2 linked regions of the Lonchura striata genome follow. The protein of the gene in region 2 interacts with the protein of the main gene of each other region in a pairwise test. Links are inferred from orthologs where the notes say so. Each region holds a gene or a part of one and is shown on either strand. Other genes may lie near its edges.

Evidence for each region. The genes of interacting proteins can lie anywhere in the genome.
Region 1: the proteins of BANP (region 2) and ZMIZ2 interact in binary tests that used the Homo sapiens proteins (3 or more experiments, as listed by UniProt). The two-hybrid records come from large-scale screens. The link is inferred for Lonchura striata from reciprocal best matches to the Homo sapiens genes BANP and ZMIZ2.

Annotation. Positions count from the first base shown.
Region 1 is NC_134634.1:5,447,951-5,457,875, reverse strand, and holds the start of ZMIZ2 (zinc finger MIZ domain-containing protein 2), read right to left. Parts: upstream 4,791-9,925; 5' UTR 4,700-4,790; intron 4,159-4,699; exon of another isoform or gene 4,022-4,158; 5' UTR 3,950-4,021; coding exon 3,900-3,949; intron 3,651-3,899; coding exon 3,536-3,650; intron 3,448-3,535; coding exon 3,245-3,447; intron 3,160-3,244; coding exon 2,967-3,159; intron 2,887-2,966; coding exon 2,632-2,886; intron 2,556-2,631; coding exon 2,382-2,555; intron 2,291-2,381; coding exon 2,225-2,290; intron 2,149-2,224; coding exon 1,977-2,148; intron 1,345-1,976; coding exon 1,200-1,344; intron 777-1,199; coding exon 566-776; intron 491-565; coding exon 385-490; intron 242-384; coding exon 84-241; intron 2-83; coding exon 1-1. Other genes in the region: OGDH (2-oxoglutarate dehydrogenase complex component E1), read right to left, coding at 6,084-6,204, 6,287-6,441, 6,545-6,708, 7,121-7,193, 7,760-7,882, 8,362-8,433, 8,561-8,739, 8,827-8,954 and 3 more. UniProt on the Homo sapiens protein: Increases ligand-dependent transcriptional activity of AR and other nuclear hormone receptors.
Region 2 is NC_134615.1:21,986,368-21,996,476, reverse strand, and holds the start of BANP (protein BANP), read right to left. Parts: upstream 4,142-10,109; 5' UTR 4,040-4,141; intron 1-4,039. UniProt on the Homo sapiens protein: Controls V(D)J recombination during T-cell development by repressing T-cell receptor (TCR) beta enhancer function. Binds to scaffold/matrix attachment region beta (S/MARbeta), an ATC-rich DNA sequence located upstream of the TCR beta enhancer.

The sequences.
Region 1 (9,925 bases), on a different chromosome or scaffold from region 2:
ACTGTGGGAAGAGCAGCTGAGATGCAGGAGGCAGGATATTGGGTGGGGGATACCCCCAGCACCCTGTCATCACCACGCCCTACCTGTATGTGCCGGCAGTCATGGCCCCTGGCTGGAAGCTGGATCCTCCGGAAGGTGATAGGGCACTTGAGGGACACCTTGATGGCTGTCTGCTCCACACCGTCCTCACCATTGGGCCCTGGTGTCCCCGGGATAGTCCCACTGCTGAAGTTGCGCTTGACTGGGAAGGTGGGGGCACCAAGGGTCAGAACCAGGACCCTGGCATGGGGGTGGAACCTGGGCAATACTGCACCATCACCCCCATGCTGCTGTGGCCTCCCTGCCACAGTGCATCCTCCTAACCCCTCAGACCCAGGTGCTCACTTTTGGTGATGCAGTGCTCAGCGGGGAGCAGGCGCTTCTTGATGAGCCCCTGCAGCACTGAGCGCACCGAGGGCCGATGCACCAGCTGCAGGACGAACAGGTGGGACTGTGGAGAGATGGGAGGCTGAGCTGTGGCCCCAGCCACCACCCTCCCTCTCCTGGTACCCTCCTGGTGACTCACACAGCAGCAGGCGGTGACAGTGATCTGAATAGTATTTCTGCCGGGCTGGCAGACGTGCTTCAGGTAGAGCGGCTTGTGGGAGGTCTTGTTGTCACCACGCTCAATGGTGAGTGGCGTGGCGTTGACGCTCACCTGCACAGAGGCCGGCCAGTTGGTGTTCATCTGCCGGTCCTCGTGGTGGTAGCACTTGAACTGCAGCTCCAGGTCAGGCCTGGGGACAGGCAGGGTGTGGGCAGGGGGTGTGTCCGCACGCGAGCCATGGCACCACCATGTCAGCACACCATGCTGCTCCAAGCCATGCAGAACCATGCAGTGCTAAGCCATTCTATGTTACACTGAGTCATATGGCACTGTGACAAACTCCAACAGTACCACAGCACAGCACTGTGCCAGGCCCACCATGTCCCACCATGCTGAGCACTAAGACAGCAGGCTGAACCACGGCAAGTACAGCTGTGCCACGCTTCGCACCATGACGCAGGACAGTGTCATGCCAAGTCATACCAGGCCACACACCCCCGTGCCACATGGCACCATGTAGTGCCTAGCTGTGCTGCCCAGCACAGCCCCACTCCACACAGTGCCATACAGCACCCCCCGAGCAGCACTGCATGACACTACAAAGCTTCCCCACCTCATCATGAGGGTTTTGTAGACAGAGTCACGGAGCTGGAAGACGTGGTTGCTGACAGCCAGGTTGTGCTGCAGGCGGAAGGGCTCCAACACCACGCCATCCCGAACCGGGAAGGTCAGTCGCAACTCCTCGCCGGGGGCCGGCCCTGTGGTACACCACCATCAGGGAAACCCACACCTTCCCCTCCCCCGGGCACCAGCCACACCCTGGCCGTGCCCCAGCCACACCCTGGCCATGCCCCAGCCGTGCTCCTCCCACTGCATGAGGATCCACCTTGCAGGAAGCCCAACCTCCACCACACTACCCTGCCCACCCCGGAAACTGCACCCCATGCATTGCAGGAAGCTCCTCCTACCCGAAGTGACCCCACCCCTGGGGGCCACCCCACTCCCACCGCTGTAGAGGAAACCCACCCCACCGCAGATTCCTGCCGCTAGCCCCAGGAAACTGCACCCTATCCAAGCCCCTCCCGATCCAGGTGGTCCCACTCTTAAAGCTGAAGCCCCCCACCAAACCAGCACTCCTGATAAGGCCCTGCCCCCTGAGCCACACCCTTTTAACAAGCCCCTCCCACTAGTCACAGGCAGCCCACCCCCTGCCTCAGTCAGCCCCCAAACCCTGGCAGTGGTCATGCCCTCTTCTCTGGCGCCTCTCCCACCCTCCACGTAAAGGGGCAAAGGCCACGGAGCTGTCAGAAGCGAGGTCTACACCGGACTGCTCGGGGCATGGGGGTCATCTCTGTGAAACACCCCCCTCACTCACACCAGGGACACCCACCTGAAGGGGACGGGTGCAGGGGGGCAACGCTGGGCTTCATGTCTGCCAGGAAGGGCGACTTGACATCCTGACCAGGGGACGCATAGGCGGGGATACCACTGCCTGGTGTCATGGGCGGCGTGGGGTTCCCGGCCAGCGGCGAGCTGGGGTACCCCGGCAGTGACCTGCCCGGCTGTAGAGGCAGCATATCTGCCCTCAGCGTCCAGCCAGGCCAGCAGAGCCCCCACCCCACCCGCTGCCAGACTCACCCCACTGACGGCTGCTTGGCTGTAGGTGCTGAAGCTGGCGCTCTGCCCATTGAACTGGTCAGCTGGCTATGGGAGGAGGAGGGTCTCCAGGGGCTGGCACCGGGGGATGGTGGACACCCAGACCTCCACCCCTTGCCCACCGTTCCCCCTGTGGTACCTTGTAATAGGGTCCAGCACCGCCTGAAGTGGAGAGGTACTGGCCCATGCTCTGCTGCAGCCTGTGGCCAGGGTATGAGGGGGACGGAGCGGAGGACTGGGGGGCGCTGGGGGCATACTGGGCACCAGCTGCAGCGTACTGCCCGCCCTGGAGGTACTGCTGTGTTGGGTACCCCTGTAGGGCCAGGGAGTCAGCACCAGTGGGAAAGGGGGTCACCGTGTGCCACAGCCTTCACCAACGCAGCGCTCACCTCACTAGAGTATGCCCGCTTGAGGCCCTGGCGGGGCAGCTGCTGGCTCTGGGGAGGTCCAGGGTAGGTGTGCTGAGGCACTCGCTGTCCACCATAAAGGGGGCCAGTCCCGGGTGCCCGCACTGGGCTCATGCTCACAGGGGAGACACCAGAGGGGGCCACAACACCTGCCATGCCAGCTGGGCTCATGCTGTTGGGGCCACGGGGTCCAGCATGGGGCAGGAACTGGCTGCTGAAAGACTGCCCTGTGCCCATCTGCAGCAACGAAGAGAGAAGAGTCATGGCAGGGCAGGGGGGCTGTCAGCTCCCCAGTTCTGCCACAGCCAGGCTCTTACCGCACTATACTGGCTCAGCTCCTGGCTCTGTTTCTCCTGCAGTGCAGCCACCGTCGCCGTGGCTGTGGCCGTGGCCGTGGCAGCAGCAGCAGCCACAGCAGCAGCTGCTGCTGCCTGGGTGAAATCAGCAGTAGCCCGGCTGGCATGCGAGGGGAGCCCTATCCCTCCAGGGCCACTCGGGCCACCATTGTAGCTGGAGAACAGAAAAGCAGAAAGGGGAATGCAGTGGCCCTGCATCAGGGCACACACCAGGCCACAAAGCACAGGACTGTCCTTACCTGGCAGCGAAGCCCGGCCCACTGGGGTAGGCAGTGCGCCCATAGACACTTGGTTGCACATACCCCTTTGCTGGTGCCCCCTCAGCAAAGGGCTGCTGTGGCAAGAACGGTGGTGAGCTCATGCCTGAGCTGGTGCCTGCCATGCCAGGCAGCAGTGGGGTGCTGGAGCTGCTTCCCCCAGGGCCCATGGGGCTGCCAAAAACCTGGAGGGTGCAGTGGGAGGCAGCGGGTCAGGCAGGGGCAGTGGCATGCAGGTGCAGTGGATGCCTGGGGAGGGGGTGCTGCTGGTACCTGGCTCTGTGAGGGGTTGCTGACACCCCAGACAGTGGTTACCACGGAGAGGGATCCCGGTGGCTGATTGGTGCTTGGTTGCCAAGGAACAGCCTCGTATGCAAATGAACCATCACTAGAAAGAAAAACAAATTAATGAAGATGAAGGACAGAAGGATGGAAGGACAGAGGGATGGAGGGATTGAGAAAATGAAAAGATGAAAAATGCAAGGGATGGAGGAACAGACAAGGGGATGGATGCATGGATGGAAGGATGGAGAAATGGATGGAGAAATAGATGGATGGATGGATGGATGAATGGATGGATGGATGGGTGGATGGATGGGTGGATGGGCGGATGGAGGGACGCTGCCCCGGCGCCCACCCGTGGGGCGCAGGCGGCAGCGAGGGTTTCATGGGGTTCATGGAGCTCATCAGCGGGTGTGGGCTGGGTCTTCCGAGGCCGCGGCGGGCACTGCGGGACGGCGGCACCGTCTGTCACTGGGGCTGCGGGAAGCAGTGGAGTGGCGGGTGAGGGGCGGCCGCCCCCGGAGAGGCTTGAGCGGGGGGACAGCCCGTAGGCTTCGCGACCCCCCAGCCTCCGCGGCCGGGACTCGGCGTCCGGCCTGCGGCTGGCACGGGGCGCCGGCCGGCACGCGCCGCCCCTGCTCCGGGCCGCCCCCCCGCTCCGGCCACCGCGGCGTCAGACCTCCCCGGGGCGGCGGGCACCGGGGGCTGCCCCCGCGCCTGCGGGCGGGGGGAACCACGGGGACTTCCCGGGGAAGGGACGGGGCCCCCGGCTCGGCATTGCGCCCCAGCGCCTGGGGTATTTCCAGCCGGGCCCGGCAGCGGGGGGCCGCGGGGTCACCGGCGCTTTCGGTTCCTCCCGGCGCCGCGGGAGGGCGGCGGACACGGGGGCGTCGGGAGGAAAGACACGGACAGGGAACACCCCGCGGCGGGCCTGCCCCGGCTCCCGGGAACCGCCACCATAGCACCGCCGGTGGTGACAGCCCCCCTCCGCTCCTTCCCCGGCGGCACCGCGGGGACAGGCCCCGGGACCGGGCCCCCCCCCATTGCCATGGCAACCACCCCCACCACCCCCGGCACGGCGGGGGGGCCCGCCGGGGCACCGCCAGCCCCGCCCGTCTCCCGCCCCGTCCGCCCGCCCGGCGCTCCCGCTCTCACCGCGGCGGCGGCCCAAGATGGCCCTGGCGGCGCGAGGCGCGCGCGGCTGCGCGGAGGCTGCGCGGGATCTTCAGCCGCGCGCGGCCGCGGCTCCGCGGGGGGCGGGGCCCAGGGGCGGGGCCGGGCCGCCGCCGCGCACAATGGGGCCGCGCGCTCATCAGCATGCAGGCCCCGCCCCCGCCCGGCCAGGCGCGGATAGCCGAGCGCCGAGGAAGGGCGCGGGCTGCGGGAGGGGGGAGCGCGGGAGCGAGCGCCGTGTGCGGGGCGCCGTGGGCAGCGCGCGTGGGGCCACGCCACGGGCTGTCCCCGCACCACGGGCTCTGCCCGCATCACGGGCTGTCCCCGCATCACGGGCTGTCCCCGCGCCACGGGCTGTCCCCGCGCCACGGGCTCTGCCCGCATCACGGGCTGGCTGTCCCCGCGCCACGGACGCTGCCACCGCAGCAGCGGCACCGCGACACGCGTGGGCATGTGGCACCTCGCACACGTGTACGCGTGCGGACGGTTTGCTCGCGGGGACGCGGAGCCCCACGCACCACGTGGACGTTGCGCGGTGACATCGCGTGCAACCCTGTATGTGACAGCACAGCCACGAGTGTGTGACGGGGCGTGGCACGCGAACCCCCCGACCTCCCTCCTGCAGCTGAAAGACCTGAGTCACACGGAAAAGTGGCGGTGGGTTCCGAGATCCCAGCTGAGATTGCCCCCGTCGCCCCCACCCCCAAAGAACGTCCTGTGGGAGGACGCGGTGGGCTCTGGAGATGCCAACAATGATCCCCGTTTGAGAGATCACCTCCCTCGACCCCCACTCAGGATCTCCAATGGGAGGACACACCACCCAGCACCCGCCCTGTCTGTCCCTGTGGGGGCTCACAGCCGGGGGATGGTGCAGACGCAGAGGGAAAAACATGCTCCCCAAGGACAGGTACAACTGAGACAAGGGCACAGCACTCTTACACCTGGTTGGGCCCTCAGGACGTGCAGATGCACTATCTCCTTCCTCCAAGAGGCAGTGGCTGCACAGAGGCAAGTCCAAGACTGAGACGAACTGGGCAGAACCTGATTCATTGCACTGGACACCCCCACAGAAGAGCTGTGGGGACCAGCCCCTCTTGGGGGGTATGGGACACCCCCAGAGAAGCGCCCCAGGGACCAGACATGCCAGGGGTCTGGGGGGCCATGGGTCTTACCCACCATGGCAGCACGCAGCCCCCAGACCCTCATGCTCCCAGGGCAGCTGTACTGGAGCCACCCTGGCATGAGGCAGACAAGGACTCCAGGCAACAGTGTGGGGTTGACAAGATCTGTAGTTGAGGGGGGGAGGCGAGCAAAGGACAGAGAGATGAACAGACAGATGGAGGAGCATGCTGCGCCGTGACGGCGCTCAAGCCAGGTCCTTGAAGGCATCGAGGTTGAAGGCTGTATCGAGTAGCCGCTGCAGCTCTGTCAGGTGGGTTTTCTTATTGCCAGTGGCAGGGGCAGCTGCTGGCTCCCGCCCTGCATACCTACCAGGGAGAAGGTGGGCCATGAGAAGGGTCTGTACCGACCAGTTCCCTCCCAGCCTCTCACCACCCCCTGTGTCCTTACCAGACAGGCTTTGCACGGTTGATGGTGGTGCGAAGCCGGGGTTTGACATAGTCATAGTAACCCTGGTTCTTGTGCTCCTCCTGGCACCACACCAGCTCGGCAGCTGGGTATTTCTGGGCTTCTCGCTGGAGGAGGTCAAAGGGGAACGGGGAGAGCTGCAGGGGACACAGAGTGGTGTCACAGGAGACATGGGGCAGTGTCTCGGGGGCTACAGAACCCCCAGCCCACAGATCATGGTGGCAGAAGGACCCTACTCACCTGCTCCACCCTGGTGATGGCCACATCGGCCTCCATCTGCCGGGCCTTGCGCTCACGGGTCAGGTCATAGTACACCTTGCCAGTGCAGAACAGCACCCGCTTCACCTGCTCGGGGTTCTGGGCTGCAGGGCCACTGTCAGGGATGACACGGAGGAAGTGGGTGCCTGCCAAAGAAGAGAACGGCACCCTGAGCCACAGCAGTTCACAGCACTGTGCCAGCAGCCACTGCACCCACATGCCATGCCAGCCCCTTCCAGGACCCTGAGAGGCAGAGTCAGTTGACCCAGGTACAGCAGGCACAACTCCCACCACAAACCATCACATGCCACTTGGGGCTACCAAATCCCAGCTGCAAGTGGCTGTTGATGGAGGAAGCAACATGGAGCCAAGTCTCCCAAGGGTGCCAGGCTCAGCCCTAATGAGGCTCTGGTGTGCCAAGGAGGCCCTGGCCTCACTCGGCCAGCCTCCACCATGGGGAGGCTGCTGTCAGGCAGACTTTACCCAAGGCGACAGACTCCTGCCCTTCACCCTGCGGAGCAGCGTGGGAGAACACAGGCAGCTCTGTGCTACTTGTACCTGGCAGCATGTCATCAAAGCTGGAGCGGGCTTCGGGGTGGCGCAGCAGTGACTTTGGAGTGAAGATTATCAGCTGGAGTGGGGGAGAAGAGGCAGAGCAATGTGGTCAGACCTGCCAGAAACACCTCCCCTACAAGCCAGTGCTGGAGCAGCCACCTGCCTGCCCTCCCCTGCCCATCCTGCCTGAGCAAGGGAGCAGCTGCCAGAGATTTGCTTCTCAACTCAGCTGCAGTGTTCTGCTAGATTGGGCACCGATTCCCAACAGCACCAACCATCCCAGCTGGGATGTCCCCTGGGGAAGAGGCGGAGGGGCTTCCAGCCTGTCCCATGGCTAGAGCTGACTGGAACTGGCTGAAGTAGGTCATGTAGCAGTGTCTGTTGGCTTCAATAGCCCTGACCTCCCCATGGAGTTTGGGAAGGGGTCACAGCCCTTGCAACCCACATGAGACAGCAGCCGTACATCAAGCGCCAAGCCAGTCCTGAGCACAATAAGCTCCTTGGCCAGGCAGCAGCCAACTGCCCATGTCTGAGGTGCAGGAAGAAGCTGCACCCAGCCCAATCCCAGTCCAGGGAAATATCCAACAGGAAGACAGCACCCTGCCTGGGCACCAAGCTGGGCATGGAGCTGCTGGCACTGACCGGTTTGCGGAAAGGCAGGAGGATCTGGCGCCGGAGGACGTGGAAGAAGTTGGCTGGAGTGGAGCAGTTCACGACAATCCAGTTGCACTCATAGAGCTGACGCACATCAAAGTCATCCAGCTTCTGTCTTGGCCAGAACGGGTGAGGGGATTTCAGGAAACACAAGGTACCTCTTGGCCTTGTGGCTCCAGTAGGAGGTAGAGGAGTGGTCCCCAGCCCTCCCTCCCCTCCCTCCTTCCCTCCCCTCCCTCCCCTTCTCTCACTCTTCAGAGCACACAGAGATCCTGGAGAGGCTCCAGGGCTGTGCTCTCCACCTTGGTCTGGCCATAAGGGTGGCCAGCAACCCCCTCTCATGCCACTTTCAGGGCCACCTCTCCCTTGGACTATGCCACAGCCCCAGGTTCCATGGAGGTGCAGCCTGGGCACCAGGTTCAGGCTCTTTCCCCACACCCTCCAGCCAGCATGAGACCAAGGCATCCCATGCCTCCTGCCATCAGCTCCCACTGTGCTAAGCCCACACGGGTGTTGCTGCCCTCCACTGAGCTCAATCCAGGGCACAGGAGGGCCAGGCTGAGCACCACACCATGGGGGCCACCACTCACAGGGAAGACATCAGGATCATCATTGCACATCTGCAGGAATCGCTCTGGGCGGGCAGAGGAGTGCTCGGGACCCTATGGGGACCAAGAAGGCAGAAGGTCATTGCAGGCCAAGGAAAGCATGAGAACCCGAAGTCAGGCACTCCCACATCATGAGTAGTGCCACTGCTGTCCAGGGTTCCACCTCCAGGGTGAGCCTTACCATGCCCTCCATGCCGTGGGGAAGCAGCAGGACAATGCCGTTCTGCCTGACCCACTTGGCCTGCCCGGGACAGATGAACTGGTCGATAATGCATTGAGCAGTGTTGTGGAAATCCCCAAACTGGGCTTCCCAAAGCACCAGGGCATTGGGACTGGCCATGGCAAACCCCAGTTCAAATCCTGAGAAACGGAAGAGCAGTGAGAGGGTTGGGCTGCCCTTCCAGAGTGGCATCACCCTGGGCAGTGAGCACATACCCACTCACTCACCCAAGACACCGTACTCTGACAGGGAGCTGTTGCAGACAGTGTACGGAGCCTGGTTGGGCCAGAGGTGGTTCATGGGGATACAGGTCCTCTTGTCCACATTCTGATCATGAAGGACATGGTGGCGATGGCTGGAAAAGGGAGAAGAGTAACTTCATCATCAGCCTTTGGATCCCTTCCAGAAGGGCTGGAATTGCCTTTAAAGCCTCCAAAAGCAGGGTTTTACCTAAATGTCCCCCTCTCAACATCCTGGCCACTCAGGCGGATGTGGATGCCCTCTTTGAGCAGGGAGCCAAATGCCATGTACTCTGCCAGGGCCCAGTCAACTGTCCGGTTCTTCACCATCTCCCCACGGGTTTTCAGAATACGGCTCAAACCTGCCGGGACAGGAACTGGTTCATAGGCAGCACAAGACAGAGCTCCAGTGACACCAGATTTGTTCCACAACCAGCCCACGGGTTTTGCTTGTTCTGAGGCCCTCAGAGCTCCAGGCAGGGTCTCAAGAATGCAGCACCCAGGGAGAGGATCCCCACCCTTGACCTGCTACCCACCCATATTGAAGCAGTCCAGTATGTCCCTTCCTTCCAGGCCACATCCCAGCCCTATCTCACATCTCTCCAGAACAAATGCCCAGTCTGGCACAGCTTTCACAAGCTCCTACCTCCATGGATAGTGAAATCCTCCACCGGCACTGAGCTGGCCACTTGACCAATGTGCGTCAGGTCCTCTTCATTGAGGCCAGTGGAAGGGCAGGTCATGCTCCGGGGCTGCCCGTCCAAAGTGAAGAAACCTGTCAGAGAAGGAGAAACACCATGCTGCAGGAGACGTGCCAGATCCATGGGAAGACCTCAGGTCACAGACACCCTCAAGCAAAGGTAGAGACACCAGGAACGGGAAGGGCACTACTAACCTCCCCTGTGGGGTGGCTTACTAGAAAATCTCTGCCATGGATCTAGAGAGGCCGGGTGCCTTGCTATGGCCTCTAAATCGCTGCTAGTGACTTACCTGGCCAAGGTGAGTCCAGCCAGTGTTTGATGTGCAAGATCTTCTCATCCTTGGATCTGGCATGGGCCTCCTCACAAATCTTATCGTACTTGGCAAT
Region 2 (10,109 bases):
CAACACCCAACAAATAATCCAGGAATGCCTTCCGTGCCTCCCAGGCACGAGGAAGGGCAGTGGGTGGTCACGGAGAGCAGGAATTGCAGCCCAAATTCCCTGTGGATCTTGTCCAAACCCCGGTGCCCTGTGCCAGCCCCCCGTGGCACAGCCTGGATGGGATTGTTCCCCAGGAGCTGGGCAGGAAATGTTCACACGTGTCCCAGCACACACACACACACACACACACACACACAGAGGCCTGAATTCAATTTACAGCCATTTAATCCCCTTGAACCCAGCCCGGGAAGGAGCTAAATGCTTGCAGATTGCAGGTCTTAAAGCAGAGGCTGCAATTGGGGATCCTGGTGGGATTATTCCCGACAGGGATCATTCACACCAGGCACAATTTGTAGAATTTGCTGAAAAGCAGCAAAAGTGAGAGCAGAGCTGCCCAGAGAGCAAATCCTGTCCTGCTGTTTTCTTGTTTTCAGCCACTAGATGGAGGATTTTTATTGGGAACAGCTCCAAAAAATCCTGCACGGACTTCCAGGGCAGGTTTAGGGTGGATATTACGAAAAGGTTTTTCCTCAGGCTCCCCAGGGAATGGGCACAGCCCGAGGGTGAGGAGCTCCAGGAGAGGTTGGACAGCGCTGCCAGGGATGCCCAGGGTGGGATTTTGGGAATGTCCTGAACTGGATGATCCCTTCCAGCTCAGGGAATTCCATTATTCCAGGAAATTCAAACATCCAGGATTAGTTTCATCCAGCTTCCACCATCCCAGGGTGCTCCCAGCCCCATCCAGCCTGGCCTTGGGCACTGCCAGGGATCCAGGGGCAGCCACAGCTGCTCTGGGCACCTCTGCCAAGGCTCCCCATCCTCACAGGGAGGAATTCCTTCCCAATATCCCACTTATCCCTGCCCTCCTTCAGCTTAGGGCCATTCCCTCTTGGCCTGCCAGCTTACCTTTAGCAACAAGAGATTAATAATAATAATTTATAGGGTTTTTTTCCTCGTTTTTTCCTAATATGTGCACAACTAGTCCTCAATACACTGGAAAAAAAGTTTCTGATCCAGCAATTCCAGAGGAGAGAGACAAGGACAGCCCCTGGTGTTGGCATAGGCTGCTGCTACTACAAAAAAAAAAGCAGAAAAGCCAACATCAAATACAACCTGCTCACTCCAAAGTCTTCTAATGGATTTTCCTGCTGCAGGCATCAAGGAAAAGAAACCATTCCAGCTGCCAAACCAGACCTTAGCACTGCTGTGTAACAGAGAGACAGCAGGATTCTCAAATTCTTGCCAAAAGTAGGAATGAAAATAAACTGAGGAGCATCATTTCAGTAGGGAAACACGAACTGAGCAATTCTTCAAAATCCAAGTTATTTTCATAGGATTGTTGAGGGTGGAAAAGAGCTCTGGGATCGTGGAATTCACCCTGTGCCCCATCCCCACCTTGTCCCCAGCCCAGAGCTCTAAATCAGGGGTTACAAACAGGAAGCAACATCAAATGATTCTGTTCAACAGACACCACCACAAATTATTTTATTTCAAGTCCCACATACCAAGGGTGTGATGAAGTTAAACCTTTTTGTATGCTTTTCAGTCTAACTGGTTGCAAAATTCACTATTTTCCAGCACTTTAAAAACCTAAACCTGCAAGGAAACAAGTAGTTCATGTGACTGTGAAGATATTTTATTCCTTTTATTTTACTTGGGAAAGAAAGTGGAGGGGGGGGGGGAAGTGATAATTAACCTTTCAACAAGTATGGATAAAGGAGAAAATAAGGTTATTTCAACTGTCAATAACTAAATATTGAGTTTCAAACTAAAGGAAATCGACCTGTGACCAAAATTTTATTGGCAAAGTTCTGCATACAAAGACATTTTGTGGTTTATTTCCAACCACTGGCTTTGCTCTGTCTCCTCCTACAAGTGGCTCAATCCCAGCATTTCCAGTTCCAGGGTTCCTCCAAGGAAAGAGATGAAAACCCTGGAATTCTGATAAAAGTAAAGGAAAACCCTGGAATTCTGACACAATAAAGAAAAACCCTGGAATTCTGATAAAAGAAAACCCTGGAATTTTGACACAATAAAGGAAAACCTGGAATTCTGATAAAATAAAAGAAAATCCTGGAATTTTGACACAATAAAGATATGTGCTGTTCCTGCACCTACAGAGTTTTATGAGATGGGGAGGAAGCTCAAGAGAAAATCCAGAGGCAAACTCCTGGAATTCCCTGGGTGTGAATCCCATGGGACACCACCACTCCTTCCCAAGCCAAGGTAAATCCACAGGCAGCAGCTCTGAATAAATGCTCATTTTTCCTCACCTGATTGCCCAAAATTCCAGAAAAAGCAGGGTAAAAGCAGCACAGGCAGGAAAAGAGCCTCTTCCAAACTTATTTCTTGGAGCAGGTGCCTCTGGAAGCTGCAGCTGTGAGCATTGCTAATTAGCAGCACACCTTTAATGGTTTTATTAAATTACTCTGGATGTTATTAATCAATTAGCCCTTTAAAAGAACCTTAATTAACACCTGCTCTGGAAGCACACAGCTTTCACATGGCTGGGTGATTCAGACAGAACACCCAGCTGTAGAAGAGATCATAAACTGAAAAAACAAAGTTATAAAATCTTTTTGTCCTCTGGAGAAGATGGAATGTTTCACAAATCTAACCTCCATCTTTTTATTCTCTCAATAAATTAATTAATCTTTCCTATTAACATCTATTACTGAAAATGAAACTACTTCCGTTTATTGCGGGGAAATTTACTCAGGGTTTCAGAATCAAAGGCTTGTTATTCTGGTGAATTTCTGTAAACAACTGTTTTAAAAATATATAATCATATATATATATATAAACTTCCTAGCAGAGAAAATTTTCGGTTTTCTCTGTGAAATTCAGACACTTTTTTGTTTGATATTTTAAAATCTTGGTTGAAATATTTGAAGTCACACAGATGTCAGATTTGCCTCTCTTGGAATCTACAGGGCACCACACCTCAGGTATCCTCACACAGAAGGCAAGAAAGTACCAAAAAACACTCCAAAATACCATTTTAAAGCTGCTTCCACCAAAGGAATCTCTCAGTTGCAAATAACCCTTGTTTACTTCAAAAAGTCTTCCCTGGAGAGCTCCAAAAATAAACTGATCCATAAACTATCCGTGCCATAGCAGGATAAAATGACTATATTTGGTGAAGTACACAACTTGCCACTGTGGATGGATTTAAAAATAAAACAAAAAAAAAAAAAAATGGGGAGGAGAGGGAGGAAAAGGAGGCAACGCTTGAATTGCAAATAAGGGCATAGGGATACGAGTGTGTTGAGAGAATCCTGGAAGAGTTTGGGTGGGAAGGGATTTTGAAGGGATTTTAAATCTCGTTCCACCCCTGCCACGGCAGGGACACCTTCCACTATCCCAGGCAGCTCCAGGGAAAGGCACACAGGGAGGAATTCCTTCTCACATCCCATCTGAAGCCCTCCGTGTCACAGCTGGCTGCTGTGAAGGGGACAGAAGCCAGCAGCGCTGCTGTGGATGTGCAAACCCTGCCAGGAGCACACGCTGCTGCTCCCAGGAGCGCTCCCAGCCCAGCCCAGCCCGGGGGGACAGGGGACACAGCCCCGCGGAGGAGCACAGCCAAACCTTCGGGTGGAAGGGATTTAAAGCTCATCCCGCTCCACCCCTGCCACGGCAGGGACACCTTCCACCATACCCCAGCTGCTCCAAGCCCTGTCCAACCTGGCCTTGGGCACTGCCAGGGGGCAGCTACACCTTCTCCGGGCACGCCGTGCCATGGCCTCAGCACCCTCACTGAGGGCAGGATTTCTCCCCGCTATGGAACCACGGCGGGGATGAACAGAGGGATGGGGGGTGGGTGAGGCGGAGTGGGGTCCCCCCGCCTCGGCCGCTCCCTCCCCGCCGGCTCAGGGCCCGGGGGGGGTGGGGGTGTGGGGATCGCGGTGTGTGTGTGCGCGGTGCCCCCCGTGCGGGGCCGTGCGGGGCCGGGGGGGGCGGCGGCGCGGCGGAGCTGCCGCCCGCGGGGGCGCCGCGTTACCGTGTGAGGCGGGCGCCGAGTTCTCGTGGTGTTTTGTGCGGCGGCTGCGATAATGGCGTCCTTCCTCGCGAGAGATCCGGCCGGCGGCCCCGCGCCGCGCACGCGCCGCGCGCCCGCGCGCTGCCCCCGCCCTTGCCCCGCCGCCGAGGCGCCGCAGCGGGGGGGGGGGGAACGGACTACGAGTCCCAGCGGGCAGCGCGCGCGCCCCCGCAGGAGCACGCCGGGACCTGTAGTACGCGCGGGGGTGGCGCGGGGCGTGCCGGGAAGTGTAGTCAGGGAATCATGGAATCGCAGGGTTTATCCCGGGAGCGTTGAGGGGGGAAAAGAGCTCCGGGATCGTGGAATTCACTCTGTGCCCCATCCCCGAGCTCTGAGTGCCGCCTCCAGGAATTCCTGGGACACCTCCAGGGATGGGCACTCCAACCCTCCCTGGGCACTTCCAATCCCTGAGCCCCTTTCCATGGGGAAATTCCTGCTGCTGCCCACCCTGAGCCGGCCCTGAGGCCGTTCCCTCTGCTCCTGTCCCTGTTCCTGGAGCAGAGCCCGACCCCCCGGCTGTCCCCTCCTGGCAGGAGCTGAGCAGGGCCAGGAGGGTCCCTGAGCCTCCTTTGCTCCGGGCTGAGCCCCCCAGCTCCCTCAGGATCCTCCAGTGCCTTCCCAGCTCCCTCAGGATCCTCCATCCCCTTCCCAAATCCCTCAAGATCCTCCAGCCCCTTCCCAGCTCCCTCAGGATTCTCCACATCCCTCAGGAATTCTCCATCCCCTTTCCATCTCCCTCAGGAACTTTCCAGCCTCTTTCCCACTCCCTCAGGATCCTCCAGGCCCTTCCCAAATCCCTCAGGATCCTCCAGCCCCTTCCCAGCTCCCTCAGGAATTCTCCAGCCCTTTTCCATCTCCCTCAGGATTTTCCAGCCCCTTCCCAGCTCCCTCAGGAATTCTCCAGCCCCTTCCCAGCTCCCTCAGGAATTCTCCAGCCCCTTCCCAGCTCCCCCAGGAATTCTCCAGCCTTTTTCCATTTCCTTCCCATCTCCCTTAGGAATTCTCCGTTCCCTTCCCTGGACACGCTCCAGCCCCTCAACGTCCACAGCGCTCAGCCAGCAGAGCCGGCAGATTGAACAGGAATCTGCACCTCCAAAATCATTCACACCTTCCCCATCATCTGCTGCTTCCATCAGACTCCTCGTGGATGTCACTGTCGTGCTAAGGACAGAAACGTCACCGTGCCCGGAGCAGGCTGAGCAGCAGGCAGCAAGTGGGAATTTGCTAAATTGGCTCGTCAGCCTCGCTCTTCTGTCACTGCTGTGCGTGCTGCGAGAACAGGAGGGCTGGGTGAAGGTGGGAATGCACCGGGAACCTTCTGGGCACGATAAAAATATGCAAAGAGCCTCCAAAAAAGAAGCACGGAGGAAGCATATGCAAAGAGGACAAAGATTAGGCAAATTTCTGTCTTTTTATAGCACAGTGTTGCCCAATAAAGACCAACCACGCTTCACTTTTCAGCTTCACCGTAGCTAGCAGCGACTTGCAGACTTCTGCATTAAAGCATTCCCTAAATAAGATTAATAAAGATTCCTAAATGAGATGCTTAATGGGGTTCTCCAGTGCCATGTCACACAGCTGGATCCACTCTGGTTCAGCTGTAAGAGGTTCTCCAGACACCTGCAGGCCTGGTGTGTTGGGAAATTGTTCCCTCATGCAGCTGTTGATTTATTTACCATGTTCTCCCCCTTCACAAGCAGATTAGGCAGTTCAAAGGTTAAACTACTTAGAATCTGACTTTTCACACCAGATTATTTCACGCTTTGCTACACCAATTTGCCCTGCAACAGTTTTGCCATAGGGTTTCTGCTGGACTCAAGCAATTGCAGGTCCCAGCTGGAAAAACAGGGATACAAATATTTACCAGCTGCTGTGGGAGCTACTGGTAAAAGCTTTTGCCACCCTAAACCAGCCCATGGTAAAAGCTGCCCTGCTTTCTCATATTTTCATCATATTACCATCCCAAAGATTATAAACTCCTGTTTGCTGGAGGTGTGAGGTGCTTCTGCCCTGGAGAGCCATGAATCCTTTCCCAACACAAACAGAAAAGCTGGCATGGTCATAAACCAGTTATGGTATTTACCCAAAGTTAATTTGGCTCAAATTAACTGCAGGAAATACTGGCGGGATCCGACTGATGTCTGCGACTCTGATCAGAGATAACAGCAGAATAAACAAATAAAACAATTTATCCCCAAGGGAGGCTGCAGCACCTCCTCCTGCCCATCCACTCTGATCCAGCAGCTGAGAATCCACAGTTACCTCACCCCTTGGAAGAGTTTTTCCCTCTTTACCAGAGAAATTAATTTGGATTTTTTTTTTTCCAAACCAGAAGGCATTTATTTTTTAAATTATGGATGACACCACTAAATCACAGACAGACTCTTTTATCATGGTTTACCTCGTGTTTCCTTGAGACTGCACAGCCAGAAGTGATAAACACTTTGTGCAGCACAAAGTCTGACTGCAAACACGAGGAAAAGGATCTTTCTGTTAAATCTGGAGGCCCAGATTTGGCTTTTCAGTTTTTGATTCCCAGTACCAGTGAGTGACTGACCAAAGGGTAATTGCTTCCTTCACAATCTCCTGAGCTTCAGCTGCTGCCAAAACTGAGCTCCTGTGACTATTTCTGCAATAATTGAAAGAAATTCACTGTAATCCCCATTTAGTGAATGAGGGTTTCACTTTACCCTGGGATAGGTCTGCCTATGAGCAAATGCCAAGAAGAACTTGATACACTGGAAGGTTTATTCTGATTTAAACCATGATAATTTGCTCAAATGCCTACATCAAATCCATTCTAATTTTCTTAATTTCCTGTCCTCATATAAAAGCAACTGAAAACTTCAGGCTGCTAATATATAATTTAATTTTTTAATTTTACAGGAGAAAATACCCCCTGTTGCCCTGTTAGTCTGTTGTCCCAAATAAAACAAGGGATTTCTTTGTTGTTTTATTTCCTCACATTTTCGTGCTCTTTTTTTTCTGAACTCTTGCATTTTATGTCTGTGCTTTGCCATGTTAGGAGGAGTAATTTGCTTCCAGGAAGTATCCAGTTTATTTCACCCTGCTCTCAGCATTCATTTACTATTGTTTTCTAAGGAAGTTGCTGCTTTCACATGTTTTGTGTGGATCAGGAGAGACTGGGAACTCATTCATTGGTTTCCTTGTTTTTTTTTCATTAAGGAAAAAAACCCTTCCCATAGCATCAAAGGTAAAAAATTAACACACTGTGCACACAGTTTTGCAGCTGCAGCAGAAAAATAAAGGTTGCCAAACAAAGCTTTTGTTTAAACAAGTGACAGACATCCATAATTATCCTCAGTGCTGAGCATGAGGACACAGGAAAAAGGGATGGGGAAGATGTGAGCAGGGCACAGAAGGCACTCCAGAGTATTTGCTGGAAGAATCATTTTCTTTCCAAAGGATAAAATCCTCAATTACATCCAAGTAAAAAGAGTACTTGAAGGTCCCCTGTTTATTCTTTTCTTTCTGCTTAGGTTTGTTAATTTTCTCTATAATATCTCTTGTAACTGGAAAGGGAAACAAACCCAGCCTTATGAACACAGCCTGTCCTATGTTGTGACAGTGATGCTTAAGAAAAATTTATATAAAACACCTCTTTAACCAAGAGAATATTTATATTATTTGTAAATGTGCTGTAGCAGCATATGAGGAGAAGCTCATCATTTAATTTTCAGATGCCACAGCCATTTTCAATCCCCTCAGATTTTTCTATGGTTTATGACACAAAACAAGGCAGCACCAAGTGGGTTTTGCTCCTGGACCTACTTCAGCTACCTCTGTATCAGTACTCTGATCTCATTCTGGTTTCTGCTGAGTAAACTCCATTTTGTTCAATAAAAATACTCCTAATTTTCACGAACAGGGATGGAAGAAAAGGGCCTGCATTCCCTCAGCAGAGAGAGAAGCTGTGACACGTTTTGCCACCCGTCTGGTCAAAGTCCATGGTCCTGTAGGGTCCCTTCTGCCAGTCTGAGGAACAAGGTGAGAAGGGTCAGGCATGATCTTGATGTTCTCTTATTTATTTTTACAGACTCCTCCACCTCCCTGGACACAACCTGGGAAAAAAAATCAAATGATGGGAGGCTCCTTCCCTTCTGAGAAATGTCCCCCTGGCACAAACCCTGTGTTTACACTTGCCTGGCTGGGATCTTCCAGGATCTCTCACAGCTCCCCACACAGCTGAGGTTTGCCCAGCTCTGCTCATGTTTGCCCCAGACCACGTTTACTTGGTCAGGTATTAATAGCTGAGTACTTCTGGGGGGATTGTCAAAGCCTGAAGGGTATTCATTCCACCTACAGATTTTAGAGGATTTTATCCTTCTATGATTCTAAGCGGAATTTGACCGTCTCCTCATTCTGGACGTGCATCCATTTCAACACATCCAAAATTATTTTTAGCTCTACCATTGCAGGTGTGAGAGGTAAAATAAACTGAGTGGAGATGTCCAGTTGTGGCCAGGGTGGCAGAATGTCCCTGAGCAGGTTTCCACACAGCTCCACGTGGCAGAGGCAGGAGGGCAGGGCTGCTCTTCGGGGCAACCCAGGTCAGCCAGAACCTCATCCAGAGGCAAATTCCAACCCTTGGGATGGTGAAATCCTGCATTTCCCTACAAGCTGGGCACTGCAAAGCTCTGGAGACAGAGTTTTTCTCCCACTCCAGGTGTTCCTCAGAAAATCCTGGAGTGCTCCCTGGCAGGGATGAAGGTCCACGGGCTGTATCAGACAGAGCTTCCCAGCACATCTCAGGAATTCCCCCTGCTGAGCACTCATGGGAATGGATCTGGAATGTTCTGTCCTGTTTGGAGAGACAATGAACAAACAGAGGTGCTTCCCAGGCTGCTGAGCTCAGCTGGATGAATTGTCCCAGCAAAACGTGGACATCAAAAAAAAAAGCTTTCCTCAAATAAAAATCGGCCATGGGAAGTGTGAGCCAATCCCCAGGGAAACGAGGGGCAAAGCCACCCAGGGATGGCCTGGCTCCTGTCACAATAAGTGACATTTTTAGTCACTCCACAGAGGTTTCCACTCCTCAGCAGCAAAACTCCCAAGCAGCTTCCCACAACCTGAGTGTCCTGCCAATTAGACAATAATTAGGTGAGGAAAATGTTCATTATTAAATCACTTCCATGATATCGAGTTACAGTAAAGCTGTAACACTGTATTTTTTGCTGAATTGCTGGGTTTGACCTACAAACCAGGGCAGGAACACCCTTGCAAGCAGGAAGCCTGGGGATCAGATTCCTTGGACACACTGCAGTGAGGAGGTGATTCTCCCTCTGCAATAACACAATTAATATGAACAATGGTAATATAAAAGCAACTAAGTGCTGGCAATGCTCTAGTGAAAAAACCTCAATTATTGATCCCCTCTGCTCAGTCTGGAGGCACTGACAGCAAAAGTCAGATGGGTGACAGCGAGAAAATTCTAAATTTTCCCTTGTTTCATTTCCGTGAAGAAAAAGAAGCCCATTTTCATTGTGTACAGTCACACTGCTCACCCACATTACCCAATTATGAAGAACAGTTGATGTTTCAGTTTTTTGGGCAGAACTCAGAGCTGACAGTACAGGCAGTGCTGACAGCTTAGGGAATAAATGACAAGCGGGAAGGAAGACTCTGCTAAACAGGAGGGGTTGGAATAATAAATAGCACAGCTCAGCTGGCCACTTCAGGCTACCAAAGAGGATTCCCTGAGCCCGAGCCCTGCCCTGACACCCTGTGTGATAAGAGATGGCAGACAGGCAGATGTTTCATGAAAATATCACCAAAAAAGTTTCTAATTCAAAACACCTATCTGCTAAAAGCAAATAAATGAAAAAAAAAACACCAACAGAACATAAATCAAAGCCATTGAAAAATATTTCACGGGTTCATTTTCTTAATTTATGAATTAAAAAAAAGAGGAGGATTTAATGGCAGAATGTTACCATTGTCATTATCTCTCCTTGCTCTAGCATTGATGGAGTCTGGAGTTTTTGAAGTATACCCATTCAGGTATTTAATA